2 linked regions of the Tribolium castaneum genome follow. The protein of the gene in region 2 purifies or fractionates together with the protein of the main gene of each other region. This does not show direct contact. Links are inferred from orthologs where the notes say so. Each region holds a gene or a part of one and is shown on either strand. Other genes may lie near its edges.

Region 1 (3,753 bases), on a different chromosome or scaffold from region 2:
AGTTATAGATACCAATTATCTGTTTCATTCACTAGTGTAAATACATTAAACGTAAATTCCCCATCGTTTTCCTCATAAAAATTGAATTATGCATTTCGTAATCAAATTCCTGAAAACTTTGATATCTCTAGGAACGAAAATTGATTAAAAATTGTTTTGCAAAGAAAATTTAAAATATTTCACCAAAAATTCTTTTTGAATGTATGATGAGATTGATAAGTATGCATTTATTAAAAAAAACTAATTGTACAGTAACGTAATTTCAAGCAAGAAACACACCTAATCTTCCTTACCTTTTTATAAGAATTATAAATTATAAGAAACGAATGATCTAAAGCAGAGAATAGACTTTCATTCAAAGTTATACATAAAATAATTTTTTCAAAAAAATCATGTTTTTCACTATCCAAATATTCCATATAAGTAGGTTATTTCCTCCCGAAGAAGCAAAATATTTCATTTAAAAAAAATACATTAATTGATTATCCTGATGAGACGCCGAAGAAAAATAAATCAAAATTTCTATTGAAGAAGATTCCTCGGCTATCGCCTTATCTTACCCGTGTGGTTCGTTGCGGCCACCGTGCTGTTATCCCACGTGTTGGAGTTATCCCAGGTGTCGATGGGTTTGTTATAGGCGTTGCTCCGACTTCCCCTCGGCGGATATCTGCCTCCAGCGCGTCCGCCGCCCCTTCCTCGACCGCCTCCAGGACCACGCGTCGATCCCCCAGGTCTGCCGCGACGATCGCGGTGGAAATCACGACCGCCACCGCCGCCCTCTTCGAGGTTACGCTCGTTTTCTTGTTTCTCTCGGCCACGCCACCCGCGGCTGTCATTATGTCGGCCGTGGAGACGAGGCGGACCGCTCTTGTTCCGCGGTTTGTCCTTCTCGTTGCCGTTGCCGGCACCGCCGCCCCCGCCGGCAGATGGGACGTCGTTCCAATCGTCGCCGCCCGCAGACTCCTCTATCTTTTCCTGCTTGCTGGCGGACGCTTGGCGGTTCTTTTTCTTCTTAACTCTAGTCTCCCACTCACCCTGATAACACAAAACCAGACTTCTTATTACGCGAACACCAAATTAAAAACGAAAGGAAAATACATACTTATTAAAAAACGGAACCAGACGACCATGGGAAGAAACCAGTTAAGATTTTTTTATTCGCTACTGTCACAAAAAATAAAACTAACGTTTTGTTCCTCCATGGTATTACAAATACATCCCATTAAAAAGTAGAAGAAAAAAATTATTGTCATTAAATGTTGATGCCACGTCGTTTAGCCTTGACCATGACAAATTGATGTAATTTCCGGAATAGTAAATAAACAATTTTTAGTTATTAACAATAACCAAATTTTAATGGTTATTTTTTCAAAAATGTAACATATAATTATTATAATACGAGTTAAGGTTACAACTGTGTGAGAAGTTTTATTACTAAATTAAAACCAAAAAATGCAACCTCAAACATAAACCACTCTCATTTCACATTCTACTTATATTTTATCACTCTGTCTTTCCCTTTTTCTCTAATTTCAGTAAGTTTAAGATAACATTTTACGTTTTAAATATACATTTAACAAAAAATAGAATTTCTAGAATTCCCATAAGTATCCGTTACTTATTACCAGTTTACACGATAGGATAGTAGTTTTACGTAGTTCACTATTAAATAAAACAATACAATAAAATCGAAGAATACGTTGTTTACTTATGCTTATCAGATATCCTATTGTTTAATGATTTAATAATGTTTTGTTTTGAGTTTTTGACAGCAACTAGCGACACCAGCAAAACAATGGCAGAAAAGACGTGAATTCTGTGAAACGCTATAAACTGCTTGAGTAGGGCGACTACAAAACTTTTTTTTAATTTATTTACTACACGATTTACGAAAAGAATCAGTTTAAGAGCAGTAAACTAAAACAATACTCACTTGCCCCATATTTTCCAAAAGCATGTTCATGGCCGCGTTTTCATCATAGTCGCAATCATGTAGAGCAAGACAAACCTCCTCTTCAGACCTCTGAGACATCTCCATCAGCTTCTTCACTTTGTCCTTAATGAAAGGATCTTCTGATTTTGCATGTGTGTTATCTCTGCTTGCTTGCTGCTTGTCTGAGCCTTTCCCTGAGACACGCATCTTAGTCCCCGCATTGCCAAAAAGCCCCCCGAACTCACCTGTGTCGGATTTATCTGATTTGTGTGTTTTATTGTCAGTCTTTGACCCTTTCCCACCTTTAGAGGTGGTTCGATTGCTCGAACTCATGATTTGTACAGTATGTACAGTGTACTATTTACAAACTATCTGTAAAAAATAAACTCAATGAGTAACATATTTTTCGGAAGAGTAAATATCGCCGCCGTTGCGAAATAACTGGATTTTCCGGCAATAACAAAGAGGCATCAGGGGGCTAGCCGCGCGTGAGGCGGATGAGAAAAATAGCAGCTCTGGGGGCAAATTGGGGCGCGCACGGCGGGATGGAAGCCCCCGGTGGCCGACGACCGCTTTTATACCATGTGGAGGGACGCCATTTCAGAGCTTGTAAAGCAGTTCATGACAACCAAACAGAACGAGGAAATTACGCGATTTCGGAGAAATTTGACTCGATCGAGGGCTGGAAATCGGGGGCTGGGGCCCAAATTGCACACCATACCTCAACAAGCACTCACTAACGGTCTTAAATCAATCGAAAACGACAACGTTAACCATACCTGTATAATTCAGTAAAACCACAACGCACTAGTAACTGGTCACGTGATCACGAAAATGGCGGATGGACGTTTGCCAAAGCGCGCCAAATTACCGACCGAGACTGACGCTTTTGTCTTTGATTTTCAAATTTGACAAAATAAATACAAAATTTCCGTTTTGATATTTTGTTTATCACTAAAAACTCTAATTCTTGGCCACAGCTGTAAGACAGTTAAACCTAAACTTGAGCTGTAACTGGTGAAGTCATTTTTTTTGTACTTGATTAATTTGAATGGAAATGCCGCGGAAGTGGCTACGGTGCCTGCATTTTTTTATTCTTTGTTCTTTTATTTATTTCATTTTATAACGTTTCATTAAAACGCAACAATATTATTCGCTTATTTTGCTTTTTTGTAACTTATGCATTCGAGTTTTGTTTTTCCGATACATGTTTTTGTATGCAATTTGTACTTCTTGTAAGGTAAATGAACTGGTTCATGGACGAGCGTCAATAAGAATCACGGAAGAACTTTGTTAAAAGAATCTCAAGAACATTAGACGGTCACAAATATGTTAATAGAAAAAAATACAGAAAAATAAACAGCGCAAGTTTCAATTTTGTTTTGAATTAAGGTAGATGGCAGGAACAATTAAATAATTTATTATAAAAATTATAACAGTGGCTTAAAACTGTATAAAAACAATGCATCTTAACAATTAAAGTTGTTGGAATAAGTGATTTTCTTGCTTTAGCCACCATTGATGTCTCTTGTTTCTCTCCACCGACCGTCCTACTATATTTTTAAAACATAAAAGTTATTAGAAATCCTGAAAATAATATTAGAACAAATTGGCACATTAAACCAACATCTTCTTTACGTATTTTAAATTTTTATTTAAATCACCCTCTTCAGCAAAAATTAAGTCTCATGACCCAAAATTACTTCCCGAAAATTTCAACATCACCAAATATATTTCATAAATTAATAATTATCCATTTAATTTAATCAACAAAATTTTATCTAATGATAACAATGACCAACTTAATTTGTTAAATTGTA
Region 2 (3,753 bases):
GGCGTCAAAAGAACCGCGTTTGCAACTCCAAGATTTCGGGATTTTTCTCGGAAAGTATGGGGTTTACGGGGGTGGCGGAGGCTTGTGCTCAAGCACCGACACATGGACAATGGACGGGAACGCAACGATGGATTGGCAAAAGCATACTTTGTGTGGTACAGACCTTATAAAGGGCCCCATTTTCGCCGCATACTTCCACTGCCAGGTCCTCCATGTTGGTTTTGTTCTTGGGTGAGGAAACAGCCTTGAGCCGAGAGGGAGTTGCACTGCTGCCACTCTAGCAAAAAGAAATTCAGTGAGTGACAGATACGAAATGGAGAGCTGGGATTGGTCGAAAACCGAAGGGAGCAGTGGCGGCGCCAGCGACACCAATAAGGGGGCAAATGAGGATAATTCAACAAGCTGATAGACAAACCTGCTTTATTTCTCCTTAAATTAGAAAAGTTCTTCTTAAATCCTTATTACAATAAAAGATTAAGTAGTCCTAAGTTATTCTGATCGTCCGAAAAGTGCTAGTTTTTAGAAAAAAACTACTTAAGTTTCTTGTTTTCACTTACATTGCTTAGAAGCATCACATTTGTGATAGGAATTTATCTTTAGAGATAGTAACTTTCCGGGATCGATTATTTTAAATCCACAGTACTATTTTTTAAGATCCATGTAGGCATTGGCAATTTATTGTACCTGTTTTATATTTTAACAAAAATTGAAAATATCGTTTGTTTTTTGTATTACCAATAGGTTTTTTCAAATATTTTCTGCGACGAAGAATAAGCGACATAATCGCTTGACGTCACAGCCGCCTTTCATCACAGAATCTTCGTATCATTAAATCCTCTCAGTCACCAAAAACAGACATTTTTCACACATCTTCGACAAAATAAAAAATTAACTACTTTCTAGACTTCTTTCGGGTCCAAATTTTTAAAAAGCAAAAACGTAATTAATTGTTTGAAAAAATTACCGCAAAATAATTATTTATGAAAAAAGTGCTAGGCGATTTTACCGTCCAGTTCAGCAAAAGTTCAGCAATTGAACACAAATTGTTCGCAAAAGTGGCAGAACGAATGGTTTTTGAAATAAACAACTTTAGCAGTAAACTAGTTTTTGCCAGAACAGCAACACCGCTCAAAAGTTATTGAACTAAAGCTTACAAAGCCTGTTAAAAATTTTGCTTTTATCATTTTTAATAAACTAACAAAAGATAAACGTTTTAAAAAAGTTATTGAAATAACTTATTAACTTAACTTAATTTCATGAGTGATAAAATTATAAACAAAAAATTTATTAAAAAAAATATGATGTGATGACAAAAATTTTATCAAATTCGTGAACTGTAGACCAAATCAAATTTTACTCAGATTGTTCAAAGGACAAGACTTGGGTTGAGTAGTGTAATTATTCAAAAAATAGTTGCAAAATTTTATCATAAAACGTGTAATTAGTTCAAAAATGCGCTTAAACGTTCGATAAAGGTAAAAATTTAAGATACATAATTTAGTGATTTTGCGGTTGATAAACAAAAAACAAAGTTTTTAGCTCAGAAACATAGCTTTATTGCCTGAAAAGCAAAAATTACACAATTTTTGACGTAATTCAGTATTTTTTTTAGAAATATTGCCAAATATTATATGCATAATGTTATTTTTGACCACATTTAGTTATTTTTCGGCTCAATTTACGAATTTTTTTGGATTGATTTAGCAAAATTTTGCATAGTGTGTTTGGGAATGCAAAAGAACTCGACAATTTATAATTAAAATAATTAAGCAACAGATCAAATTTAACTAGAAACAGGGCCTTAAGACATTTTAGCTTCCACAAAAACACATTTTAAACTTTGACAGTTCGATACTTCCTATGGATACTTCAAAATTTAAAAAAAATATCACCCGGCAACCATCTTGGATTTTGGATTTTGGACCATGAAACATTTAGAGATTAGGATTGTCTTCTGCCATTATTTTTAACCTTTTTTTGCAACATTTGACAAAGCTTTGAAGACGGTCTTTGAGCTACATGTTAAACGTTCCCATGTTAGCCCCCCTTGCGCCGCCACTGCCCTGGCACCGCAACGTGACCATGACTAGTTCGTCAAACTGACAGGCCCAGCGGCGCTGTGCGTAATCACGCTTATCTTTTAAACTAAACGTTGTCATTGGTTTTGTAGGGCGCCGAAATTTGCGAGTGCCCCCGTGACAACGCCCCGAAATGACGAGTCGCTCATGAGACAATGTCCAGCAGCAGCGACTCGGAGGAATTCTACGACGCCGAAGACCTAACACCTAGTCATGGTCCAAGGTACGCCCCAAGCACTTTTTACCTCCAAGAAGACTTTCATTTCTTCACTTTGGACCACCACAACACCACTTTATTTACACTTCACGACAACAAAAAACAATTGAAACACATGCCCTTTGACAGATGCTCGCTTGCCCACTTGATAATTATATCGTGTAAAATTTTATAGAAAAAATCGGAAAAGCTCCAAGGAAAGTCTCACCCAGAGGGCTAGTTCGGAACCTAATGTCTCAACGGTGCCCCCAGGTCACGACGAGAGACAGCTCCAGTCGGTCAATGAGATTGTTTTTGTAAGTGAAGGTGTTACATAACCTCAAAAACATATGGTTGCGTAGGTTGAGCCCCAGAAGAGGACACCGCTTGGTGGCCGGCGCAAGTTCAAGGAGTTGAGACAGAAGCTGCAACACGACGATGAGGACTGTCAAACTGGCAACGTTACGCCCCCCAACAGCCAAACATCATCAGTTGAGGGGGTTTTCGCCGCCTCCAATAAGACCTCCCACCCTTTCCGTATCATAGAACAGGACACTGTGAGCCTCCAGAGTATCAATTCTTTAGGACGGCTCACACGAATTTTAGGGGGGATCGCCGAAGGGGGTAATAATTCAGTGATTGGTTTTGTTTAAATTCTAAATAATTTAATATTAGAATGTGGCCGCAAGGCCGTTTCCGTATCCGCTCTCTCCTCCAGCTCCCTCGACTCGGGCTCCACCCCCAGCTCGAAGGGCATCTCCCAGTACCCCAGCAATGCAACACTGACTTCCGAAAAGTCCAGTCTTCCGCTACAAGAACCCGACGTCATTGCAAGCACAAAAGCCTCCTCTTCGCAAAAGAGCGACGATCAAAATGTGGCACCGGTGGCTCCCCCACGTCGCAAAAAGAAAAACAAGGCGGCGCTCCAAATCAAAGTATGTCTTGGACCGCTATCATCTTTTTTTTAAAGTCGGTATTGCAGAAATCTGCATCGAGTGCGACTTTTGAGTCCTCCGACCTGGCGAGTCCTGCGAGTACCATTGAGTCTTTGACGCGCGAATTCGAACATTCTCTCGATCGCCTGCCGTCCGGCAACGAATCGCAGAGTTCGACGCTACGGTCGGGGCACTCGTTGGATATCAAGCAGGCGTTGAAGGGTCAATTTGTGGTCAAGCCCCAGGATAATGAAAGTTTGAAGGCCGGGGAAGGGGGTAAGGTTAAGAGTGAAGTGGTCCAAGCAGCGAGTCCGAGAGGGTCTTCCACGAGGTCAAGTGTCGGGCACTACAGTTTGGGACCTCATAGGTATTTATACATTTTTGATGATCAATCAAGTTGGCTTTATACCATGTCCATCAAGTGGGCCTGAGACCACTTGATTGATTAAATTAACTTCATAAAAAGCTTTTTAATAGCACAGTTAATAGTAATTTATGCTTCCCTTATCACGTAAAATCTAAAAAACTAAGTTCTATAATTCAT

Evidence for each region.
Region 1: the proteins of Fmr1 (region 2) and lig purify together in Drosophila melanogaster (affinity purification with western blotting; 3 studies listed by BioGRID, with this or other methods). This does not show direct contact. The link is inferred for Tribolium castaneum from reciprocal best matches to the Drosophila melanogaster genes Fmr1 and lig.

The regions. Positions count from the first base shown.
Region 1 is NC_087396.1:16,161,386-16,165,138, reverse strand, and holds the start of lig (protein lingerer), read right to left. Parts: upstream 2,841-3,753; 5' UTR 2,713-2,840; exon of another isoform or gene 2,655-2,712; intron 2,306-2,654; 5' UTR 2,267-2,305; coding exon 2,179-2,266; intron 2,128-2,178; coding exon 1,934-2,127; intron 1,036-1,933; coding exon 561-1,035; intron 1-560. UniProt on the Drosophila melanogaster protein: Acts in the nervous system to mediate the control of copulatory organs during courtship.
Region 2 is NC_087400.1:7,272,929-7,276,681, reverse strand, and holds the start of Fmr1 (RNA-binding protein FXR1), read right to left. Parts: upstream 2,471-3,753; 5' UTR 2,342-2,470; coding exon 2,324-2,341; intron 2,302-2,323; coding exon of another isoform or gene 2,234-2,301; exon of another isoform or gene 2,171-2,233; intron 2,120-2,170; exon of another isoform or gene 1,990-2,119; intron 278-1,989; coding exon 164-277; intron 1-163. Other genes in the region: WD repeat-containing protein 44, read left to right, coding at 2,234-2,301, 2,471-2,591, 2,637-2,898, 2,950-3,209, 3,257-3,576. UniProt on the Drosophila melanogaster protein: Polyribosome-associated RNA-binding protein that plays a role in neuronal development and synaptic plasticity through the regulation of protein synthesis of mRNAs.